Xenopus tropicalis: one gene and its partners. The protein of the gene in region 1 purifies or fractionates together with the protein of each later gene. This does not show direct contact. Links are inferred from orthologs where the notes say so. Each region holds a gene or a part of one and is shown in the gene's direction. Other genes may lie near its edges.

Region 1 (4,204 bases):
GATCTGACTTTCACCCCTGGGTCTCTTCCTACTTTATATGTCTTACCAGGGAGTTCCGAGAACACGTCTGTAAACATAATTTCTCTGGCCACTGTGAGTTGCTGGCCCACGGGTACCTGGGGGCTTCTTGCTCCTTTACCAGTGGGACGATTTTGCCCCAACACACAGGTTCCACAGGGGAGGGCGCTGGTATTAGTGAGGGATAGAAGGGCAAATCCATTCCCGGTAAGGGGATTCCCCACTTGTAAATGGGACAATGCCATAGTGCTCGGTTACCTGCCCCCCCCCCCCACAACTGATTACCCAGAGTTCCACATTGACATGAAGAATTAAGGACAGGGTGTTGTTTATGGACGGCCAGGTACCATCTGGAAATATCCGCTTAATACCGGGTCCCAGCTTGGATACACATTCCTATTGGTTTTTGCTGTCTGCTCTCTGCTTCAAGACAACATAAGTGACTTTATTACATTCTTGGGAATGAGACCGGCTTCTAACAAAGACATTAGTGTGTGCTGCCTAACGGAGACATTCATGAGAAATGGTCCATTATATTAGTGTGGAACATGGGAGTTCAGTCCAGTACCATCAGTGGGTTCTGCTAGGCCTGTCCAGTTGATATGTAAGACCAGCGGCTGTGAAAATAAGACATTATAGAATTAAGTCTAAAAACAACTGGACTTTTCTGAGTTTACATTTCACCACTCATCTGAGTGGCTTCTTCAGAACTGAAGAAGCCACTGGGATGAGTGGTGAAATGTTTTCAAGAAAAAAACTCAGAAAAGTCCAGTTGCTTTAGACTTAATTCTGCTAGATACTGTATATCATGGCCTGGATGAATGGGAATGTTCATAGACACATTAATGCTGCCATTAAGCAGCACATGTAACACAGTTCAGTTCAGGACCTGTACCTCAGAAACAACAAAGTTTTGTTTTTTAGCTAATAATAACGTCAGATATAGTTTAGCAACCCCTACATTCTGAGATTCTGCAATGTAAAGAGCGCAATTGCTGAAAATGAAACTAGTCAGTTATGTAGGTGAGTGTTTTGCGTGCCCATCCCAAGATGGCGGCGACCTCTCGTTGATTTGTAGCGCATTTCCCTTCCCAAGATGGACACCCATCCCGGGCAGGTATCCATAGTAACCATCCACTAAGAGGCTCGGAAGGGGCGGGGAATGGAGATACGTGGCTCGACGCATTAAAGCCGCCTCCATTTTGCCGGCGTAGGGTCAGTGTTAGGCGCCATTTTGTGCTGTGTGTCGGGAGTAGAGCGATAGGCAGGGAGAGTCAGTGCTACCGTAGCCCTCTTGCTTTTATTTGGGGGGATCCCGTCCGTTAGCCAAGCGCACCCCGGACTCCAGAGCCGCTCGGTGAGTGTGAGGGGAGGGGGTACCGGGCTCGGTGCTGGGGTATGAATGGGGGGCCGGGGGTAACTGCTTCCCACGCCCCTGGGCATAGAGGCCTGGGGGGCTGAGAGGTATAGTTCTGTTTATGGGACTGATTCTGGGGGGGCAGGGTACTAAAGGGCTTTGGGGGGCTGGGAGGGGGGGCCAGGGTACTAAAGGGCTTTGGGGGGCAGGGTACTAAAGGGCTTTGGGGGGGGGCAGGGTACTAAAGGGCTTTGGGGGGGGCAGGGTACTAAAGGGCTTTGGGGGCAGGGGTACTAAAGGGCTTTGGGGGGGGGCAGGGTATAAAGGGCTTTGGGGGGGCAGGGTACTAAAGGGCTTGGGGGGCAGGGTACTAAAGGGCTTTGGGGGGGGGCAGGGTACTAAAGGGCTTTGGGGGCAGGTCTAAGCTTTGGGGGGGCAGGGTACTAAGGGCTTTGGGGGGGGGGCAGGGTACTAAAGGGCTTTGGGGGGGGCAGGGTACTAAAGGGCTTTGGGGGGGGCAGGGTACTAAAGGGCTTTGGGGGGGGGGCAGGGGTACTAAAGGGCTTTGGGGGGGGGGCAGGGTACTAAAGGGCTTTGGGGGGGGGCAGGGTACTAAAGGGCTTTGGGGGGGGCAGGGTACTAAAGGGCTTTTGGGGGGGGGCAGGGTACTAAAGGGCTTTGGGGGGGGGGCAGGGTACTAAAGGGCTTTGGGGGGGGGCAGGGTACTAAAAGGGCTTGGGGGGGCCAGGGTACTAAAGGGCTTTGGGGGGGGGGCAGGGTACTAAAGGGCTTGGGGGGGGGCCAGGGTACTAAGGGCTTTGGGGGGGGGCAGGGTACTAAAGGGCTTTGGGGGGGGGGCAGGGTACTAAAGGGCTTGGGGGGGGGCAGGGTACTAAAGGGCTTTGGGGGGGGGGCAGGGTACTAAAGGGCTTTGTGGGGGGGGCAGGGTACTAAAGGGCTTTGGGGGGGTGGGCAGGGTACTAAAGGGCTTTGGGGGGGGGGAGGGTCCTAGCCGCTTTTGGGGGGCAGGGTACTAAAGGGCTTTGGGGGGGGGGCAGGGTACTAAAGGGCTTTGGGGGGGGGGCAGGGTACTAAAGGGCTTCTGGGGGGGGGGGGGCAGGGTACTAAGGGGCTTTGGGGGGGGGGGCAAGGGTTTTAAAGGCTTGGTTGGAGAGGGTTAGTCTTTGGGGGGGATTGGGGGGGCAGGGTACTAAAGGGCTTTGGGGGGCTGAGCAGGTATAGTTCTGTTTATGGGACAGTGATTCTGGGGGGGCAGGGTACTAAGGGCTTTGGGGGGCTGAGAGGTATAGTTCTGTTTATGGGACAGTGATTCTGGGGGGGCGCAGGGTACTAAAGGGCTTTGGGGGCTGAGAGGTATAGTTCTGTTTATGGGACAGTGATTCTGGGGGGGCAGGGTACTAAAGGGCTTTGGGGGGCTGAGAGGTATAGGTTCTGTTTATGGGACAGTGATTCTGGGGGGGGCAGGGTACTAAAGGGCTTTGGGGGGCTGAGAGGTATAGTTCTGTTTATGGGACAGTGATTCTGGGGGGGGCAGGGTACTAAAGGGCTTTGGGGGGCTGAGAGGTATAGTTCTGTTTATGGGACAGTGGTTCTGGGGGGGGGGCAGGGTACTAAAGGGCTTTGGGGGGCTGAGAGGTATAGTTCTGTTTATGGGACAGTGGTTCTGGGGGGGGCAGGGTACTAAAGGGCTTTGGGGGGCTGAGAGGTATAGTTCTGTTTATGGGACAGTGGTTCGGGGGGGGGCAGGGTTGGGTCGGTACCAGTGCTGCTCATGTCCTACACTCCCTGTTTAGAGTAAAGGGGACTGTGTGTTACAAACACGTGACTAACTTTGCTGTGTCCCTTGCAGGTTTGCCAGACTTCAAGATGGCCGCCCCGTCTGCATCTAAAGTTGTGCTAAAGAGTACCACAAAGCTGTCGCTGAATGAGCGGTGAGGAAGCCCCACAGGCCGGGCAGCTGCTATAGCATATGTAGCCCGTGTCTCACACTGCCTCACATGGGCATGCCTCGCCCCGTGCCCACCCCCCCTTAAACACAAAAGTGGGCGCCCGCTGCTGCGGCAGCTGTACCACAGGGGGCCGGGCCTGTGTGTGAGATTGTCACTAGCAGTTGGTAAAGTATAATCAGGCAATGTGATACACTCACTCCCCCCCTTCTCTTCCACACGTATGTACATGGGTCAGAATCTCAGCTGCGGCCTGGTAGCATGTTACCTGCGCTGCGTTACACCCGCTGCCGTGCCCGGGGGGCGACACATGCCCGCGTGTGGTCGCTCCTGTAAGAGGCATGATTCGGGGGTCTCTCTCCCTGCCCAGAGGCCCTTTAACCTCGTTCTAGGGTCTTGTAAGAGGCAACCGCTTTGCTCAGTCCATTCCCTGCATGTGTCTGCTCTTGCACCCCCTCATTTCTTGGGGTCCCCCTGGGGTTTAACCATCCCATTCATGCCTTCCTGTTCCATCTGTACCCCTCTCGTGCCATGGTCTTTCCCGTAACTGGTGCAGTTGGTATTAAAGGGGAAGTTCACCTTTGAGTTAACTTTTAGTATGATGTAGAGAGTAAATTGCAATTGGTCTTCGTTTTTTTTTTTTTTCACTTTTTGTTCAGCAATGCTCTAGTTTGGAATTTCAGCAGTTATCTGGTTGCTAGGGTTCAAATTACCTTAGCAACCAGGTAGTGCTATATAGGTAGGAGAGGACTTAAATAGAAAAAATAAGTAACCGCTGCAATAAAATAGTAGCCTTGCAGAGCAGTCGTTTTTTGGCCGCCAGTCCCCTACTGCTCTGCAAGGCTACACTTTTATTGTTGTT
Region 2 (4,095 bases), about 34 Mb from region 1:
ATACCACTGCCTACATTTAACTCAACGTTAAATTTAAGGTGAACTACCCCAGTAATGAACAATCATAAAACCACTTGTTAAAGGAAGCGTTTCATTAGCCGCTAACACACTTTCCCCTTACTCTCCCATAAACCTATTGTGTTCCCCATGTCTGTGGGGGGTTCCACTACTCTTAGTTAGACAGTGAGCTCTTTGGGACACCCACACCTACCAATTGATATCCCTTAATGCTATTAGTAACTACAGCTATTAATAGAAAGATTAGATATAACCTTCCTGTGCAGTTTGATGCTTATCCTTTGCTATGGTATGTACTCCATGGTCTCTCTGATCTGTGCTCATGGAATGGACATGATGCTATGCATACTGGGGCCAGTATACAACTATACAGACACATAGTGGATATAAATTACATTTACCTATACTATTGTCATTTACAAATAGCCTCATAAAACATATACACAAAACTACTCCCTGCCTATACTTCAGCCCATGGCAGGTGTAGCTCAGCAAGACTTGTCCCATTCGAGGTTGCCAATCAGTGCACTATACCGATAAATAATGTAGGTACTCACACACTAACAGACAGGCACAGCCGGTCCGGAACAGCTCAAACCGAATACGAACCACAGGGCTATTCCTTACCGCTGAGCCCAAAAATCTGCTCCGGCTTGTTCAACAGACTCTGACAGCCCGCAGGAACCTTAGTGGCTCTCGCACATACGCACCGCCATCTTGCTGTGCCTCAGAGCCGCGGCTGCCATGGTGTCATTACATGAGACTACTTCCGGGTTAGCTGGACAATGGCGTCACAGTAGGGAACGTAGATAGACGGACAGCGCTGCGTGGATAGAATAAACATAAAGACAGAGACACGCCCCTTTGTGGCGCACATAAGCATTTAGTAGTTACAAACAGGCGAAAAGCGTCGCAGAAAACGACATAAACTCGTATAACAATATTTACAATTAAATGTATAACAATAAAATATATAACAATAAAATATATAACAATTAAATTTAACTATTATATAGTTTAAGGCGTTACCTCCATCCTCTTGTCTCTTTGACACATAGCTCTTGTACTTTTTATTCATTATTGTAATGACCCCTTGTTTATTATTGTGCTGTTGCACAGCGATACATACATACAGCGCTATATAAATAAAATACACGTACAGTCATATTACACCCCGAGCCCTTATTAATCATGGCCGCCACGACCTCCCATACTAGTCTCGCTGTATGATACCTGGAGCGTTTAAATCTAACTACTTCCGCCGGAAACACGACTTTCCATTTCCTGCTTGCTGCTTCGGGTGCTAAGTTGCGGTGTGTAGAAAGCGCAGATATGGTGAGTAGGAATGGCTGCTGGGCGGCGGGGCTTGTTAGCGGGTGAGGGCGCAGAGAAGCAGCTGCAGGCCGCGGCGGGCTCCTGAGTTCCAGGGGGCGGGATGCGCGGCCCCATAATGTAGCGATGGAGGCCCCCCTCGGCCCGGGGCTCTGCAGCTGCTCCTCTGCTTGTGTTTTGCCTGTAGAGCTCACACGGCCTCTCTCTTGCAGTCTCACACAATCCTACTCGTACAGCCCACCAAGAGACCCGAGGGCCGGACCTATGCAGACTACGAGTCGGTGAATGAATGCATGGAAGGTATGTTAGCCTCACATTTATTGCTTGATAGGAAGGGAAGTGTAGCTACGGGTTACTCGCACTCTATACATTCCTTACAGCACGGGGTTTTCCGCCCAAACCTCCTTTACTGCCCAGGATTTAGGCAGCCCCCCCCCCCACATTCATTTAGGCAATTATCACTGTAGCCTTGATCAGAGCTATGTTTTATATCCGCTTTTTCTGATATCTCCAGGAAATAATTGTTCCCCCCCTCCCCCAGCCCTGAGTATGTAACTGACCTTTATGGTGGCCATACATGGGTTAATTTTGGCTGCCGATATTGGGCCTTTACACTAATTCTGCAGCTTATCTGCTTATTGGGCCTTCTTGACGACGTCTGGCCTGAAATTGGGCAGATCTCAATCGGGCAGGTTTGATTTTTCCATCAAATCGGGACCGCATCCACCCGTGCCTATACTCGCTGTTTTCTTTCGATTGTTTGGCCCCAGGGCCCAACAACTAGATTAGCCCAATAGTGCCCACCCTCAGTTGGGCATATCGAGAGAAGATCAGCTTGCTTGGCAACCTTGCGAAGCAAACTAATCTTACCATGTATGGCCAGCTTTAAGGTGGCCATACATGCACCGATAATACGAGGTTTCGTACGATATTCGGTGCGTGTATGGTATGTCGGCGAGTCGACCAATATCGCAGGAAGCTGCTGATATCGGCCGACTCGCCGATCGGACCAGTTTGAAAATTTTGACCAAATTCTGACCAAAATCTCCCTTCACCGCTGAATCGGCAGAAGGAGGTAGAAATCCTATTGTTTCTACCTCCTTACCTGCCGATTCAGCCCTGAATGGTGTGTGGCTGATCTGACGATGTTTCGCACGGGGCATGTAAGTATAGTCATTCTCCCCAAATCTTACCCCGACTGGCATTTAGTGTCTGTCCCATTTAGGTTGGCCAGCCCCAGTTATATTTGTATAAAGATTAATATTTCCTTAAATTTAAAGTATATAGTGACTAATGTACCCCTTCTTATAGATAAGATAAACATGACCTTGTATTTTCAGAAGGTGTATATGGTCATGTGACTCCTTGGTGACTTCTATTATCTTCATAAATGTTAGTACTGGGTACATCCTCAATACAATCTGCAGGCCTTAGGGGTCAAAGGCGGAATCTGGAACCTAAACTCTCGACCAGCACTTGACCTGTTAGACCCCCCCTTTGAACCCCCGGGGTTATATTGTGAGTTGCGGGAGAGGATCCCAATGTGTGAGAGGCAGGAGGGCTCCACAGATATAAGTGGTGTGGGGGCCCTGTGGGTAGCATAGTTCCACCTCTGCCTCCATTTTGTTCCCCTCCTCACAGATGTGGGGGATAGTTGCCAGTATGCTGTTCTTTTGCTCAGGGTGGCTAGGGGGCATAGTTGTATCCATGCTTATGTTTTGTTTACCTCCCTTTTACAGTTCCCCTTGTTCCCTTTCCTCTGTTTGCTCCCCACACTTTCTCCCATGTGTCTGCCCCCCCCCCCCCCCACACTTTCACTGTTCTCCATTTCTTCAAAGTCCTGTTTCTTCTGGAACTATAGTCAGATCTGCTTTTCCCTTTGTTGCTGTTGAGCAGGCGGTTAGGTGGGAGGGTCTGGCTGTTCAGTTTGGTGGGGACGCAGTAAAGTAGTTGATTCAGGCCTGAGGGGCCAGTGTTTGATTGAGCGGGTCTTGAGGAGGCAGACAATCCGGCAGGAGAAGTTATACTACGGGCAGGCAAATGGTCTCTAGTTTAGTTTACAATGCCGTAGGGAATTGGCCAAACTGTAGATAATATAGACAACAATGTATCGTTATTGTAATTTTATAACAGGGTACATTGTTTTCATAATTCACAGTTTTCAGTAAGTCATGTGACAGATTACATCACTAAGCACCGAGTATAACCTATGACATCACTAAGCACACTCTGTAAGCATATTGGCTACAGGATGTTTATGGCTCTTGAGTATATTAAAAGTTCCATAACCTGTATAAAAGCACAAAATCCTTTGGCTTTTTCACCTTGGCAAATTCTAATTTTTTTAATTTTGGAAAAGGGGGTACATATTTTTTTGTTTATAATACATAAGTTTCAATGTGTCATGTGACACAAATAACGTTACTAAGCACTGTTTAAATGGATGTTTGACTCTTGCGTATTATAAACGCCTTGTGGCATTTTTCTGCTGTCTAAGCCTAAATAGCACAAGTGGAACCTTGGCTTTAATAAAATTATGTGCCTTTCTCGCAAGTGTGCAAACGCAAAGATTTAACATATTTCTATATAGAGAAGTAAGTAGATTGTTCTTACCTTGACCTTCTTCCCTACTGATCATAAAGCCCAGATTTAAATCACCTCCCTGTTGGAATTAATCTTGTTATAATCCATCCTTTGTTGAAGTTAAGGAACTACTCAAACTCACTGTAATGCGATAATTATTTA
Region 3 (3,055 bases), on another chromosome or scaffold:
CTTGCATAAAATACTTTTTTTTCTACTTCCCTTGCTATTGCTGTTGGCAGTGCTTGAAAGTCTCTGCCCCAATGGAGCTTACACTCTAAGGTCACTATCAAATTTACACTATGGTCTGTTTTCTCAGGGACCAGTTTACCTGACTGTTTTGGGAGTGTGGGAGGTAATGGAATAAAGGAAACCTGTGCAAGCATGGAGAAAACATAACCTCAAATTTTTCTTTTGTAAGAAGTTTGCAAACTTCAGTACCTGGATTTCTGCATTACTCACATTATCTGGTTTTCAGCTATATATAGTTATTGATAAGTCTAATTACAGCACCCAGTTACAGTATTTACTGTTTCAAAGTAAACATCTGGCCGCTATGGGTTACTCTACCTGTACATATGTTGTGCCATTTATGAAAAATGAGGCGTAACTTGCTTAAACTAAACATAAATTGTTTATATAGTCTTTGGTTGTGCCATGGCATCTCTATTGGATTGAGATTTGGGCTCTTTGCCATTCCAGAACACAAGTTTTCTTCTGTTGCAAATTCAAAGCATATGTGTGATAAATGCAGACATTCAGGTAATGGTTGGTAATTTACAGTTGCAGGAATACTTTCACTATAGTTTGCTGGCTCTTTAAGACTGTACAGAAGGAAGGAGTATTATAAAATGGCTTCTACTGTGACAGTAGCTGTCAGCATTTTGGCCCACAGCTGGGAAACATGGCATTCTAGAAGTTATTTTTACCATCTGCATTCTGTCTCTAGGTTGTAGAATTAATCTAATCATGAGTGATGTGAATGCAATATGAAATTGAAACATCACAAGGCAGTAATGTGGTTCTTCAGGCACCCATATTGCTTATGTTAGGTGTCTTGTTCCTTGGAGGTCTTGCCTGTATATGGGTGTCTAAGACTTATGCATGCATTTTCTTATTTGAAGGTTTCTTGTACTCAGCCTGAGAGCAGTGTGAAGCCAAATGCGGAGGACATGACATCAAAAGATTACTACTTTGACTCGTATGCTCACTTTGGCATCCATGAGGTAAGTTAACCCCTGCGTAGACTAATATTTTAAAGATAACTGTCCATGAGTTTTTCTGATCCATTTTCTTTCTGCAGGAGATGTTAAAAGATGAAGTTCGAACGCTGACATATCGTAACTCAATGTTTCACAACAGACATCTATTTAAAGATAAAGTAGTCTTGGATGTTGGGAGTGGCACGGGTATTCTCTGCATGTTTGCAGCAAAGGCTGGTGCCAAGAAAGTTATTGGGGTAAGATAAAAACCTCTACCCCATGGGGTTGCGATTTAGAAACGCTGAGTTTTTTTTTTAGGCATGTTCCCTGATGCATCCAGCTCTACTAGCTAGTAGGTGGTATAGAAGTTTGTCCTCTTACATTCCCCTGACTGGTGCTTGGTAGTGTGCACCATATATCTGAATATTTCTTATCATAGTCCCTTTCCTGCAGGTGCTGTGATGCAGTATTTTTAATATAGCGTATATTAGACACTGACACAAGAATTTAAACCCTTCTTTAAAACAGGACATTCTTTGCATGCATTAATAATTTTGCCATAGAAGTGTTTGCCCAGTGCTTTTACATTACACAGCCAATCCCCATTTTCCATTGAGGGGGCTGCCATTTATGCAGCAGTAGGAGTCAGTTGGCATTAGAAGCTATAACTGACAGGTTGAGAAGGGACAGTCAGGTTGGCAAAACACATTTAGGAACATCAAGTACTTAAAAATGATCAGCATTGCCTGTAACTTATGTACATTAATTGAGGAGTAATTTTGTCTGTATCCATTTAAGTTTAGGGGGGGAGGAATGTTGAGGCAGAGAGGGGGTAAGTGGGTTGGATACATACAATTGTATTTGTTTAAATCTTCTCAACTAACACTACATTCTTTTTCACTTAGATTGAGTGCTCAAGTATATCTGACTATGCCATAAAAATCGTGAAGGCAAATAAACTAGATCATGGTAGGTAACAACACGGTTGTCTTAAGTGCATTACTGTTTCCATCTAGACTGCATTCTAACCACTTATTATTCTCCTTTAGTGGTTACAATCATCAAAGGCAAAGTAGAAGAGGTGGAGCTCCCAGTAGAAAAAGTGGACATCATAATCAGTGAATGGATGGGATATTGTCTGTTCTATGAATCAATGCTGAACACTGTTATCTATGCACGGGATAAATGGCTGGTAAGTTCGCAAGAAGTGTCAAGAACGAGTATCTTGTATTTAAAAATGTAAACAGTTTGTTGGATTTGATTGTGCCAATGGTGCTAAGGCTCTCTGCATTGTTGTACCTAATACAACAATGCTAATGACATTACATCAGCTATTACTGGGTTTACACCAGTGATAGCTGGATGTAATGTAACCTTGTATATACACTTGCTAAGGAAATGTATACTTTAGTTGAAATGCCAGAAGTTTTTTTTTTAATGCCATGTGCTTCTATGTACTTGCATATCTTTCAGACTCCAGATGGGTTAATATTTCCAGATCGTGCTACACTGTATGTAACTGCTATTGAGGATAGACAATACAAAGACTACAAAATTCACTGTAAGTCTTATTTGCTGCTTTGGTGCCAGTTTTGAGTTAAAGCAAATCCATGCATGTGAAAGCCCAGTGGCATCTCTTCCTATATGTGTGTTTAATATACCAGATTTCAGTGTGACTGGTGTAAGTGCCGATGTGTTGCATGGTACAAATTTCCATCATTCCCAGCTATAATAAGTATTGGCACTGTTATGGAGATGAATGGAAATGCAGCTGGGCAGACTTAGATTATGTATTCCTTAAATATATAACTGCACTGGTCAAAGTTCTGCCTAACCACTTCATTTCTATGGTTAAAGCCCATTTTTATATTTAGACTTTTTTAGTCAGTTCAAAGTTAGTTCTTGCTATGCATTAATGTATGGCCTTCTACTGTGCCCCCAAAACTTTGTAACTTGTTTAAAACCAGTCCAGAACTGCTTTGAAAAGGGGTTTAACTGCCTCAACACAATTTGTCATGTACTTTGCTTCCACAGTAAAATTTTTA

Evidence for each region.
Region 2: the proteins of chtop (region 1) and erh purify together in Homo sapiens (affinity purification with mass spectrometry; 3 studies listed by BioGRID and IntAct, with this or other methods). This does not show direct contact. The link is inferred for Xenopus tropicalis from reciprocal best matches to the Homo sapiens genes CHTOP and ERH.
Region 3: the proteins of chtop (region 1) and prmt1 purify together in Homo sapiens (affinity purification with western blotting; 7 studies listed by BioGRID and IntAct, with this or other methods). This does not show direct contact. The link is inferred for Xenopus tropicalis from reciprocal best matches to the Homo sapiens genes CHTOP and PRMT1.

The regions. Positions count from the first base shown.
Region 1 is NC_030684.2:144,108,164-144,112,367, forward strand, and holds the start of chtop (chromatin target of PRMT1 protein), read left to right. Parts: upstream 1-1,265; 5' UTR 1,266-1,375; intron 1,376-3,245; 5' UTR 3,246-3,262; coding exon 3,263-3,327; intron 3,328-4,204. UniProt on the Homo sapiens protein: Plays an important role in the ligand-dependent activation of estrogen receptor target genes. May play a role in the silencing of fetal globin genes.
Region 2 is NC_030684.2:109,825,677-109,829,771, reverse strand, and holds the start of erh (enhancer of rudimentary homolog), read left to right. Parts: upstream 1-1,245; 5' UTR 1,246-1,350; coding exon 1,351-1,353; intron 1,354-1,562; coding exon 1,563-1,650; intron 1,651-4,095. UniProt on the Homo sapiens protein: May have a role in the cell cycle.
Region 3 is NC_030683.2:111,008,893-111,011,947, forward strand, and holds part of prmt1 (protein arginine N-methyltransferase 1), read left to right. Parts: intron 1-932; coding exon 933-1,034; intron 1,035-1,111; coding exon 1,112-1,267; intron 1,268-1,915; coding exon 1,916-1,979; intron 1,980-2,059; coding exon 2,060-2,202; intron 2,203-2,483; coding exon 2,484-2,571; intron 2,572-3,055. UniProt on the Homo sapiens protein: Arginine methyltransferase that methylates (mono and asymmetric dimethylation) the guanidino nitrogens of arginyl residues present in proteins such as ESR1, histone H2, H3 and H4, FMR1, ILF3, HNRNPA1, HNRNPD, NFATC2IP, SUPT5H, TAF15, EWS, HABP4, SERBP1, RBM15, FOXO1, CHTOP, MAP3K5/ASK1, MICU1 and NPRL2.